Canis lupus familiaris: one gene and its partners. The protein of the gene in region 3 interacts with the protein of the main gene of each other region in a pairwise test. Links are inferred from orthologs where the notes say so. Each region holds a gene or a part of one and is shown on either strand. Other genes may lie near its edges.

Region 1 (3,745 bases), on a different chromosome or scaffold from region 3:
ATCGTTGAATCTTTATACTGTACACACCTGAAACTAATATAACACTGTAAAAAGATAAAATAAAATTACACTTATACCCAAAAAAAGAAGAAAATAGTTTGTGTTCACTCACTACTGATAAGTAGCTATAATCAGAGAATGTTTGGGGCTAGATTAAAGGATTCTTCTTATATTTGAGATTACTGAAGAAGTCGTTTCAAGTCCAAAGTGTGAGATATACCTTATTTTACTACCCAAAGAATATTCAAGAATCTATAAAAATTCCTCCAGAATTATTTGCCCAAATGTCAAGGCAAACTACGTCAAAAAGTCTAAAACACTTATAGAAAGATACAGAAAACAAAACCAAAAGAAATACATCAGAAGATGGCCATGAAAGTGAAAACTGAGACTTTCTAACCCTTCAGAACACACTGAAGAAAGCAGCTTAGTGACTTACAACCCAGAAAAGGCCATTTAGGCACTGATAAATTGAATATTAGCAATGCACTTAATGGGGGACAAACCCAGGAGCCAGGGACTCCCGTTTCTCCATTCCCGTTCTGCCACCGGCTAGCAGGACAGAGTCTCGGACACATCCCCATGTGTGTCCACCAAGGAAAGCTCAACTGACATTCTCAGGCTGTGGGAACTGATTAAGTGTCCGTGAAGTACGCCAGGGCCACGAAGGCAAAGCCAAATGTCATTTGCTCGGTACAAAACTACAGCCGGCTACCTGTTAGGCTTTGCGAATCCAAGCATTAGGATTCTTTTGTGTCTTAACACCGCAAATCTCCAGTGAGTCGGGAAAGTGCATGTGTTTCCGAGTCCCGAGTAGCAGCAACTCAGAGAAAGGAATTTTCTTCCAGATCTTTGTCGCCTCACCAGCCACGTCCCTACCCCAACCCGACTCGGTGCAAGAGGGAAAGCGTGAATGCGAGATCCGCACGAGAAGTTGGGTCCGGTTACCCGTAAGCCGGTACCAGACCACGGAACACCATGGGGAATCACGGTGGAACTTTCTTTGTTAACTCACCAGAAATATGACCCGTGAAAGTAATCCCAGGAAAAACAGTGGCCCTAACCCAACTGTGTATTAAAGGGAACGTCCCTGGGCTTTCTTACATAAAAGAGCTCCAGAGTGTTTGTAGGCGGCGTTGACGGCGCGCCGGGGCGGCGGAGACCCGGGCCCCGCTCGCAGGCTGGGGCTGGGGCTGGGGCTGGGGCTGGGGCTGGGGCTGGGGCTGCGGCTGGGGCTCGGGCTGGGGCTGGGGCTGCGGCTGCGGCTGGGGCTGGGGCTGGGGCTGGGGCTGGGGCTGGGGCTCCGCTCGGCTCGGGCGGGCGGGCGGCCGGGCTGCTGCTGGCGCGGCCGCGGGGGGAGGCCGGCGCGCCGATGCCATCTCCGGCTGCCCCTTTCGCGAGTGACAGTAACAATGAAAACACGGACAAAAGAGCTGGGAGGCCACCCGCCCCAAGCGCTGCCTGGCCGCCCTCCTACCCTACCCCCACAGACGGGCTCCGCGAGTCCCAGAGAAGGGCCTCCCGCCTCCTAGGCGACCTCGCAGGCGGGGACCCCGCGTCCAGCCCGGAGCCGGAGAAGGTCCGGAGCCCGCGCTCCCGTGCAGGCAGCCGGGCACCTTGGAGGGGAGACGGGGACGCCCCGCCGCCGGTCCTGCCTGCCTCCCCCGCGCCGGGCGCGCCGTCCTCCCGGGGCCGGGGCCGGGGCCGGGGCCGGGGCTGGGGCTGGGGCTGGGGCTGGGGCGGAGGCGGGGGCCGGGGCCGGGGCCGGGGCGGGGGCGGGCTCGGGTCCCGGCCTCCAGCCTCCATCCAGCCCGGCCCCGGGAGGGCGCGCGCCGTCCGCCCCACACTCGGCGGCGAGCCGGCCGCCCCGCGGGATGCCCCGGGGGGAGGGGGGGCGCTCCCTCCGCACGCGGGGCCGGCCTGGGGCCCTACCTGAGGCTGTGTACCAGCTCCCGGCGTGGCTGGCTTCCCGGCAGACCACTCGGTTGGACATCTTGGTGCCTGTGCCGCCTATGGTGCACGAGGATGAATGAGGAGGCGGCGGCGGCGGCGGCAGGAGCGGCTCCGCGAGGGGACGAGACACCGCGGGCCCAGCCCAGGAGGAGGCGGCGGCGGGGAGGGGATCGGCCCGGCCCAGGAGGCGGCGGCGGCGGCGGCGGCGGCCCAGGAGGACGAGATGGCAGCCGGGGCGGTGGCGGCGGCAGCAACAATCAGCACGAGCTCCGGCGAGCGCCGGAAGATGGGGCCCGCGGCGGCCTCACCGAAGCCCGGAAAGCCCTGGCCCCGGCCCCCGGCCTCGCCGCCGCTCCCCGGCCGCGGCTGGTTCCGCCGAGCCGCCCCCACGGCCCCCTCCCCGCCGGCCTCCCCGAGCCGGCGCCGCTGACCCCACCCCCGTGACTCCGCGCCCGCCCCCTCCCCTCCCCCACCCCCACCCCCACCCCCCCACCCCCGCGGGACTCCCCGCACCCACCCCGCCCCCGCCCCGCCCCGCCCCGCCCCCGCCCCCACCCCGGCTGGGCCCTCCCGCCCGCCCGGCCGCCCGCCGGCCCGCGGGCCCCGCCCCGCCCCGCTCCTCCTCCGGCCGCGCCGCGAGGTTAACGGCGGAAGCCGGACAGGCCCCGCGGGGAGGCGGCGGCGGCTGCGGCTGCGGCTCCGCGCGCACGGAAGCCCAGGGCCGGGGCCCGAGCGGGGACGGCAGACCCGCGGAGGAGCCAGCGCTTCCTTACTCGCCGCTCCAACGGGTCCTGCCCACTGAGCATGCCCAGCAGCCGCGGCCGGGCCGCCGAGGGATCGCAGCGTGCACGCTCCGCGCTCCGGGGTTTAGCGGCAGCAGAGGCTGGGGGGCGGGGAGCGGGGGGGGCGGGGGGGGAGCGGGGCGCAGCCGCAGGGCGAGCCCCCTCCCCCAGCCAACTTCCGTAAATGACGAGCACCCGGGGCTCGCCGCCGCCGCCGCCGCCGCCGCGGCTTTCCGCGGGGACGGTCCTGCTCGTCCTGCTCGTCCTGCTCGTCCTCCCCCGCCTCGTCACACACGCGAATGTTGAGTGGATTCACACCCCCGAGGTTCCACTCCCGGGGATGCGAGCCTGTGGCCTCGTTCAGGAAGTTCCTGTATAGGAACAGGCACATGGCAGTGTGAGGGCAGGGGTCCCCTCAAACGCTAGCTTTTGCTTCCCGCGGCCACTCTTACACCTAATCGTGGCTTTGACACTGTAAACATTTATCTCGTTTCATTGTATACGGATGTAGGTGCAGGTCTTCACTCCCTAATTAGATTCAAGTGTGAAAATAGCTAGGCTAGCCTCAGTTATTCCCTTCTATGAAAAGGGGATAGTATATTCAAGGAGGGTCCCTGGGATTATCAGTTAATAAAATGTAGAGCCTGACAGAGTATTGCATACAACAAACATTATTTACAACCCCTCCTCTTATAAATCCCAGTATTTCACGTAAGAGTCAGGAACAAAGAATTCCTCTAAAACTATTAAAGAATCACAGAGAAGTAGGATATCTTAGACCAAGGTAGCGTTGTTATGAAGCAGATCATTCCAAAACCGGGAAGAGAGTTAAGAAAAACTTGCACGTCTTCAGTGAAAGAATCTGAATTTCATACTGAACAGATCATTGGTAGAGTTCAAACCGGATAACTGGCTGCATAATATTCAAGTTTCCCTAATGTCATAATACAGTTTTGTTTTTGTTTTAATTTACTTTCCTATTCCCACCCCTCCTCCCACTTTTTCAGCTT
Region 2 (3,745 bases), on a different chromosome or scaffold from region 3:
TGCTGCGCTCCTGTGAGCAGCTTCACCGGCTCAGGGCGCCTTCACGCCTCCAGCCGTGACCGAGATCGCCTGGCTCTGTGCCTTCCTCTCTCCCCGACTGACCTCCCCTCCGCCCGCAAGACAAAGGTCCCGAGGACACTTCCCCGACGAGCTTATGGGCAGCGGGCACTGTGGCCGCACCTGCGGGTCTGCCCTCCTCCGTGGGGCACGAGCAGAGTTCTAAAATGGGGCTGACCCCGGTGACCACCCAGTGGAACCCCTCCCCTCAAGTGTGGGAGGGAACCTGTGAATAGGACGGGATGCCACTCCTGCCATTAGGTTACAGGAGGATAAAGACGAAGGAACGGGCACGTGTGATTACGGTCCCAGAATCAGTGCCCTCTCAGCTCACCTAAAGAGATTCTGCTCGGCCGGCCTGACCTAATCAGATGAGCTCAGGGGAACAGGAACTGTGTCAAAAAATTCAAAGCATGAGAGGGATCTTCCCACTGGCCTTGAGGGAGCAAACTGCCATGCTGTGGACAGTGCTGTGGCCAGGGCCGGCGGGCAGCCTCTAGGACACCTGTAGCAGAGCTCGGGGACCCTGGTCCTACAGGGGTAGGACCCTCGCAGGGGACCAAACCCTGCCCACAACCAACAGGGCGTCTGAGACACTCCTTTAGTGCAACCTGAGCCCCTGAGCCCAAGGCACCCAGACTCCTCCTGACAAACACCACAAGATAATAAATTCATGTTGCGTAAGCTGCTAACGTGGTGGCAACTTGCTACACAGCGTAGAAAACCCATATGAGCACCCTGAGAAACGAGAGCTGTGTCTCCTTCACGGGTCCCAGAGCCAGCACGGCGCAGACAGAGCAAACATCTGTTCGGGTTCAAGTTCTCACCACTGCTGGCTACCTAGACTTGCAGGCACCGCGCTGTTAACCACGCCGATGCTACCCAATCGTCCACATCTCCGGGAGAAAGGATCTGGGTCACTGTCTCATGAAACACAACGAAAGCAAAGAGGCAGCTGAAGAAATGAAATGTTGCTCAAGTGCTTGCTTGTGTCAGAAACCACATCGAAGGTGCCTCCAACCCTGTGATCCTCACCACCGCCCGGTGAGGTGGGGGGAGTGAAGAAATGGAGCCCTGGGGGGCGGGGTGAGCTGCCCGAAGTCCCACAGCCAGTGCGCCAAAGAGCTGTGGCTCTGACTCCAGCTGCCTGGTGCTAGGACCCCAGAGGCCACACTGCCTACACGCACCAGCAACACTGGGCCCAGCTCCTGCCCTCCTCACTATTCCAGGGGAAAGATGCAGAGGTCGGTGTCGTGTTTACTGCGTAAAGCGGGGAACGGTGACAGACGGTACCAGGAGCTGACACCAAAGGCGTGGGGCCCAGGGTGGAGGATCAGGGAAGGCTTCCTGGAACAAGAATCCTGAGCTGAGAGCAGAAAAATGACTGTGGAGTTAACCTGGAGTTAGAAAGAGAGACTCCCAACGGCGTCACTCGTGCCAAGCCCCGGCCACCCCACCGCGGCCTCATACCTAACCTGGCCGCACCTGCAGCTCTCCCAGGAATGCAATCTCCACCAGTCAGCCTGGAACTTCCAGGTCAGCCCTCCCGAGCTAGTCTTCCTGAAAGAACCCCCAGCATCCCCCAGAGGAGGGGGACCCTGCCGGAAGCGATCCAGCGTCTGCTCCTGCACCCTCTGCCTACGAAACCCTCTGGGGCTCTGCGCCGTCTCCTAGGTGGGGTGCTCCCTGGCTCGTGAATAGTGGGAGAAAGCTCCCGAGATCTTTGAAATTCATTCACCCAGAGAAGCCTTGTGTTTTAAGCCTGGTAAGAGCCCAGCAGGCGGGTGCACGTCACAGCCTGGTGGCAGCTGAGAGCTCCGCAAGGCTGCCCCTTCCCCGGGAGGGACCGGGCGGCCCAGAGGAGGGCCCACCTGTGTTTAACAGGCCCCTCTGGACCATCCTTGACACCGGGCCGCGGCTCGGCAAGGGAGATGCCTGGTTGGGGTGCCCAAGCTAAGGCATGTCCTGGCATCTGGCGGCATCCGGGGGTTGGCTGCTCCCCTCCCCCCAGCGCCCCGACAGCCCCGAACAATCTGGCTGGCGTCAGGGTCACGAGTGCGGAGCCCAAGGAGCCGGGGCGGGGGTCAGTGACCAGCGGGGACCAGCGGGGGCGGCTGCCTCGGAGCGAGGACCCCGCCTGCGCCTCGGCCGCTTCGGGGTGTCTGCAGCTCCTCCCGTGCCTCAGTTTCCCCGCGTGCACGGCGTCGGACGGAGGCCGTCGCGAGTCCTCCCAGCAAAGCGCTCCGGCCTGCGCCCGGGCATCCGCCACCCTGCTCGCCTCCCGGAGCCGTCGACGGGGAGCGGGCGGCGGGGCGGGCGGCGGGCGGCGGGGGGCTCTCACCTTCGCGGCCTCCCTGAAACTTCACCCGAATCGTCTTGTCGATGTACTTCGACAAGTCCAAGATGCTCTCTTTTTTCTTCTTCTCTTTGTCCTGCGGGGGAAGCAGAGCGCGTGAGGCGCAGAGCGCGGCCGGGTCCCACGCCGCCCGCCCAGCCGGCCCCGCCGCGCGCTCACCGCCATCTTGCCGCCGCGCGCCGCTCTGCGCAGGCGCCGCCGCGCGCCCTTTGACCCCGCCCCCGTGCGCAGGCGCGGAGCGCACACGGCGCAGGCGCGGCGGGGCGCGCCGGGGCGTTGCTGGGAAACATCTGCCGACGCCTGCGGCTCGACCCGGCTGACATGGCGGCGGCGGCGGCGCTGGCGCGGCTCGCGGCGGCCTTCCTGCTCCTCGCGACCCAGGTGAGGCTGCGTCGGCCCCGCCGGCCCCGCCGGCTGCGGCGCCCGGTCCCTCCGCCCCGGGCCCCGCGCCCCGCGGGAGCCCCGCCCGGCCTGGCCTGGGGGCCAGCCTCGGGTCTGCTCGCCCCCCGCGCGGTGGCCCGCGGGCCGGGAGCCGGGCCGTGACCTTGCGGGCCGGCCCCCCCCGGAGCCCTCCCCAGCCGCAGCGTCGCCCAGTTGCGCCTGGGTCTGAAGTCCGGGAGGCCCCCCGGCTCCCCAGGCCCTGCTCCGTCCCGAGGCCCCCGGCCGCCGCCGGGGACGCCCCCCGCCTGGCCCCCAGCCTCAGTTTCCCCTTCCGCGCGAGGTTAGCGCCCACCCGCGTGGTTGCGGTAAGCCGTCCGGCGTGGCCCCCGGTTCCCCACAGGGAGCGGCCGAGAGCCCGCGTCCCGAGTGGGGTCCAACCGCCGCCCCGTGTTCTGTTGCGTGACCTTGGGCAAGGGAGGCCCCAGCTTCGGGCGTCAGTTGCTCATCTGCAAAAGGAAGACGTCAGTGAGGACTCGGCGGTGATGCTCATGGGGTGACAGCTGCAGCGTGCTCCTCCTCGGGCAGCTGGGGTCAGAGGTCTCCGGGCCAGCGGGGGGCCTGCTGCCAGCCGGGGGGTGGACATCCTCCTAAGCGCACTTTGTATTTGCAGGTCCTCCCTCCCCGGTTCCCTGGGTGATGCAGCTCAGGGAGTGGTGTCCCATTAACCTTGAGCTGCCCGCCGCAGGTCCCCATCTCTCTCCTGTAGCCTCCGGTGGCCACTTGCGTCTCACACACCCCCCAGTCCATGGGCGGCACAGCAGGAGGGATGTCTCTGAAAGTGTGTCAGGTCTGGTTGCATCCAGATGAGAGCCGCCCCTCGGCTTCCAGCGCGTGTGGGAGGCCTCTGTGGTTGGGCGGCTTGGGACGCTTCCCCTCCTGTTCCTAGTTTGC
Region 3 (3,645 bases):
AAATAACAGGGGGTTTGAGGTTTCCCCAGTTCCAGTCTTTCCACAAATACATGACATTCGTTTTCCATCTTACTGCTTAATAGGAATGATAACCATTTACGCAAATATTTTTATTTTTGTACTTTCCATTGACCATAGTTTTTCTCTGTTAGCACACAGGTCTGGAACTGTCTTATCAGACTTATGTGGTTTTTAGTGCAATAAAGAACTTTTTTAAAGAATCTGGTCCGGTGTGGTAATTTTTCTAATGAATATCAAAGCCAGTGAGTAGGGATCAGATGAACTGAATGTCTCTAGGTGATAAGGTACCTCTGCAAGTTTTGGTGGTGTGTCAGCAGAAACTGTCAGAGTCAGAGTACTGGTGTTACACATCCCACGGAAACACATGAGGAGGTCTTCTCAGAGAATGAGCTGAGCTATAGTTCCTTGCCTGCCCTGTCTCCTGGGAAATTCAGAGACATGAAAGGTGTTCCCCTCTCTACTGTGTAGATGTAGAACTTGCGTGGTGCTGTATGCTTTGGCTTCTCTCTGCACACATTGCTTTCTCTGCTCCATCTCATAGCTTGGAAGTTGTTAATATGATTCCAAAATGGCCTGTTTTGTTTTGTTTTGTTTTGTTTTATTTTTGTTCTCCTTTCCAGGAGTGGCTGTAAGGTGAAGAAATATGAAACACAGTCTCTTGCTTTGGATGGATGTTCTCAGGTGAGTCTGTGCCTGTCACCAGAATGTCTCTTGGACCAGGGGTCCCCAAACTGGAGTTTGTGTGCTCCTGGGGAGGGGGGTATAATGAATAGTTTCCAGCAGGTAATCTGGTTTCTGAGTAATCTGGCTTTGAGGATACCAATTTCTTGACCCTCAACTTCCTAAAGTGACCTGAGAAGGCTCCTGAGAAAAGGAGTGCCCACTCATGTTACACTTTTCCCACTTCTTTGAGGTAAAATTTCCTGTCATTCTGAATCTTAATAAGATGCATTTTCACTGGATATGAAATGTCTGGGACACCAAACAAAGGGCAGATTTGAAATAATACTGCATGTTTTAAGAAAGTGATTAACTTTAATAACTGGATAATAAATTTCTTAAGTCAGATGGTTTTCCAATTCATTGCTTTCAGCAAAGTAGGAGAACTTGAGTTATAACCTGATAGACTATTAAAAATTATCTGACCCAATGTTATATGTCAGTTATATCTCAGTTAAAAAATAATGTTTTTAAAAGATTTTTATTTATTTGAGAAAGCACAGGCTAGAGGAGGGACAGAGTGGGACAAACAGACTCACCTCTGAGCAGGGAGCCCAGATGCAGGGCTCCTTCCAGAACCATGAGACTGTGACCTGAGCCTAAGTCAGATGTTTAACTGGCTGAGCCACTCAGGAGCACTCCCCTCCCAAAGTAACTTTTGATGATAGAATTTTTTGGTACATGACTTGGAAAGGGATTCAAAGAATTAAGAGACATTTCGATTTCTAAAACTTTTTTTCTCTTTCATCTGTTTGTATAAATAGGCTTAAATATCTAAGCTTCTTCTTGATTGATAATTATAAAAATGAAAAACAGGAATAAAATTCATGTGGATCCTTGTTTCCTTCTAGCAGTAAATATTTGCCCATGACTATGAATTGGAAAACACACACACAAAAAAACAAAAACCCAGACCCATTTGATTGTGATGAGACCTTTTAAAAAACTTTATTGCAGCATAACTGTGAATACAGAAATACATTAATTAGTTAATAAAATTCATTTTAAGTTTATTTTACACAGTTTGGACCAAAAACTTGGTACATGGCTGAAGATTAAAAAAAAGAAAGAAAGATTTGCCCTCTGATTTATTTTTTCATCTATTACAAATATGTAAAGTATCCAATTTCAAATGCTGCTAAAGCAGGCAACAAATTTCTGTGAGAAATTTACCTTTGATTTGATTCAGGAAAATAACACATATGACACTGCAAAAGTTTTAAATAATTGGTACAACAAAATGTAATTGATACTTCTTTTTAGTAGAAACTTTTGTATGTGATAGTACTTATCAAAAGTTGTAATAATTTTAGGATAAATTGTGCATTAGTTAATTATGATGATTAGTTGTCCAGAAGAAAAAATGTTAATGTTTAAAGATTTACAGTCATAGAAGTTTTTTTTAATTTTTAACTTTTTTAACTGAGAAAGATGATAGAACTTTAAAAGACTTTAAAAGGATACAGGTGCTTCTTTTTAAGGATAATTTCTTGGTAGAAGCAATGATGCAAATTTCTGACTTAAAACTATTAAAAATGTGTGTTCATGTTGATTTTAAGTAGATGATAGAATATCATCAAATCACTAGAGTAATTAGGTTGAACTAGGCAATTTTTAAAGTATACCGGATATTATATCTTACGAAGTTTTTTATATTTATGCTGAAAAGTTTTTGGATGTCACCTAAAATACAGTGGGTACATTGATATTTCAAAAACAATTCATGGGCTATATGAGCAAAATATTTGAAAACCACTGCCTTAGATCACTTAAACTTGTTGCTTATGAATCTCGGCTAGAAAAGGTTAATTTTTCAGACCTCATGTGTGAATAAGAGAAGCGAGGTTCTAGAAAGCATAATATTCCATAATTGAGATACCTCAGCTTCCTCCTTGATTGGTACCAAAATCTATGATTAAGTCTTATCTGACACCCATGTGGAATGGTGGCTGTCTTGCCCCATTCCTCAGATGTCACTTTCCCCACTGTTGGTCCTCCTAAATGGTAGCATCTGATCTGTTGCATTTCCTAGGATGAAGGAGCAGTGATCTCCCAGATTTCAGACATATCTAATAGGGATGGCCACGCTACCGATGAGGAAAAACTGGCGTCCACTTCATCTGGTCAGAAATCAGCTGGGGCCGAGGTGAAAGGTGAGCCAGAGGAAGACCTGGAGTACTTTGAATGTTCCAATGTTCCCGTGTCTACCATAAATCATGCGTTTTCATCCTCAGAAGCAGGTATGGAAGTATATGTTCATCTTTCTAATGTACATAAGCCTAGAAATGCCTGAAAGCTTAATGCAGGAGGCAGTTTAAAGAGATTAGAGAATTGGGTCACTTGGAGGATAGATGCAGGTTGCTGATCTGTGCTTTGCTTCTTTGCCTAGAGAAGAGATGCAGGAGGGCATCTTCTCGAAATACCAGAGCCATAGGGATGAGTGTGGCAGGATGGAGACACTGACATATGAGGCTGCTTGAATTTTGTGACTTATTTTATGTGACTTCATCTCAAAATATAGTGGCCTGTAGCCATGTTGTGATTGTTGTTCAGCGTAGAGAAATAATAATAACACGTATAGTGCCTTACCATGTGCAGGCACAGTGCTAAGTGCTTTACATCTATTAACTGATGACTCCTTGGTCAGTATTATTCCCCCCCCGCCCCCCATTTTTCAGAGAAGGAAGGTGAGACATAGAAGTTGAGTAAGTTAGCCAAGGTCACTTGATTAGCACATGGTAGAACTAGGATCCAAACCTTGGCAGTCTGGTTTTATGGTCTTTTAAGCACAATGCTAACATGGGAAGAGGTTGCTTTCACGACTAGAATATTATCCATTTTCCTGTTTGTAGGCTGAAATCGACAAATACCCTGAAAAATCCTTGATGTTCTACTAAGGACTAA

What was found.
Region 1: the proteins of TACC1 (region 3) and MEMO1 interact in binary tests that used the Homo sapiens proteins (3 or more experiments, as listed by UniProt). The two-hybrid records come from large-scale screens. The link is inferred for Canis lupus familiaris from reciprocal best matches to the Homo sapiens genes TACC1 and MEMO1.
Region 2: the proteins of TACC1 (region 3) and LSM7 interact in binary tests that used the Homo sapiens proteins (3 or more experiments, as listed by UniProt). The link is inferred for Canis lupus familiaris from reciprocal best matches to the Homo sapiens genes TACC1 and LSM7.

The regions. Positions count from the first base shown.
Region 1 is NC_049238.1:25,391,566-25,395,310, forward strand, and holds the start of MEMO1 (protein MEMO1), read right to left. Parts: upstream 2,717-3,745; 5' UTR 2,701-2,716; intron 2,247-2,700; exon of another isoform or gene 2,011-2,246; 5' UTR 1,994-2,010; coding exon 1,933-1,993; intron 1-1,932. UniProt on the Homo sapiens protein: May control cell migration by relaying extracellular chemotactic signals to the microtubule cytoskeleton. Mediator of ERBB2 signaling.
Region 2 is NC_049241.1:57,200,367-57,204,111, reverse strand, and holds the start of LSM7 (U6 snRNA-associated Sm-like protein LSm7), read right to left. Parts: upstream 2,589-3,745; 5' UTR 2,579-2,588; coding exon 2,573-2,578; intron 2,490-2,572; coding exon 2,399-2,489; intron 1-2,398. Other genes in the region: SPPL2B (signal peptide peptidase-like 2B), read left to right, coding at 2,735-2,794. UniProt on the Homo sapiens protein: Plays a role in pre-mRNA splicing as component of the U4/U6-U5 tri-snRNP complex that is involved in spliceosome assembly, and as component of the precatalytic spliceosome (spliceosome B complex).
Region 3 is NC_049237.1:27,443,014-27,446,658, reverse strand, and holds part of TACC1 (transforming acidic coiled-coil-containing protein 1), read left to right. Parts: intron 1-641; coding exon 642-702; intron 703-2,773; coding exon 2,774-2,981; intron 2,982-3,645. UniProt on the Homo sapiens protein: Involved in transcription regulation induced by nuclear receptors, including in T3 thyroid hormone and all-trans retinoic acid pathways. Might promote the nuclear localization of the receptors.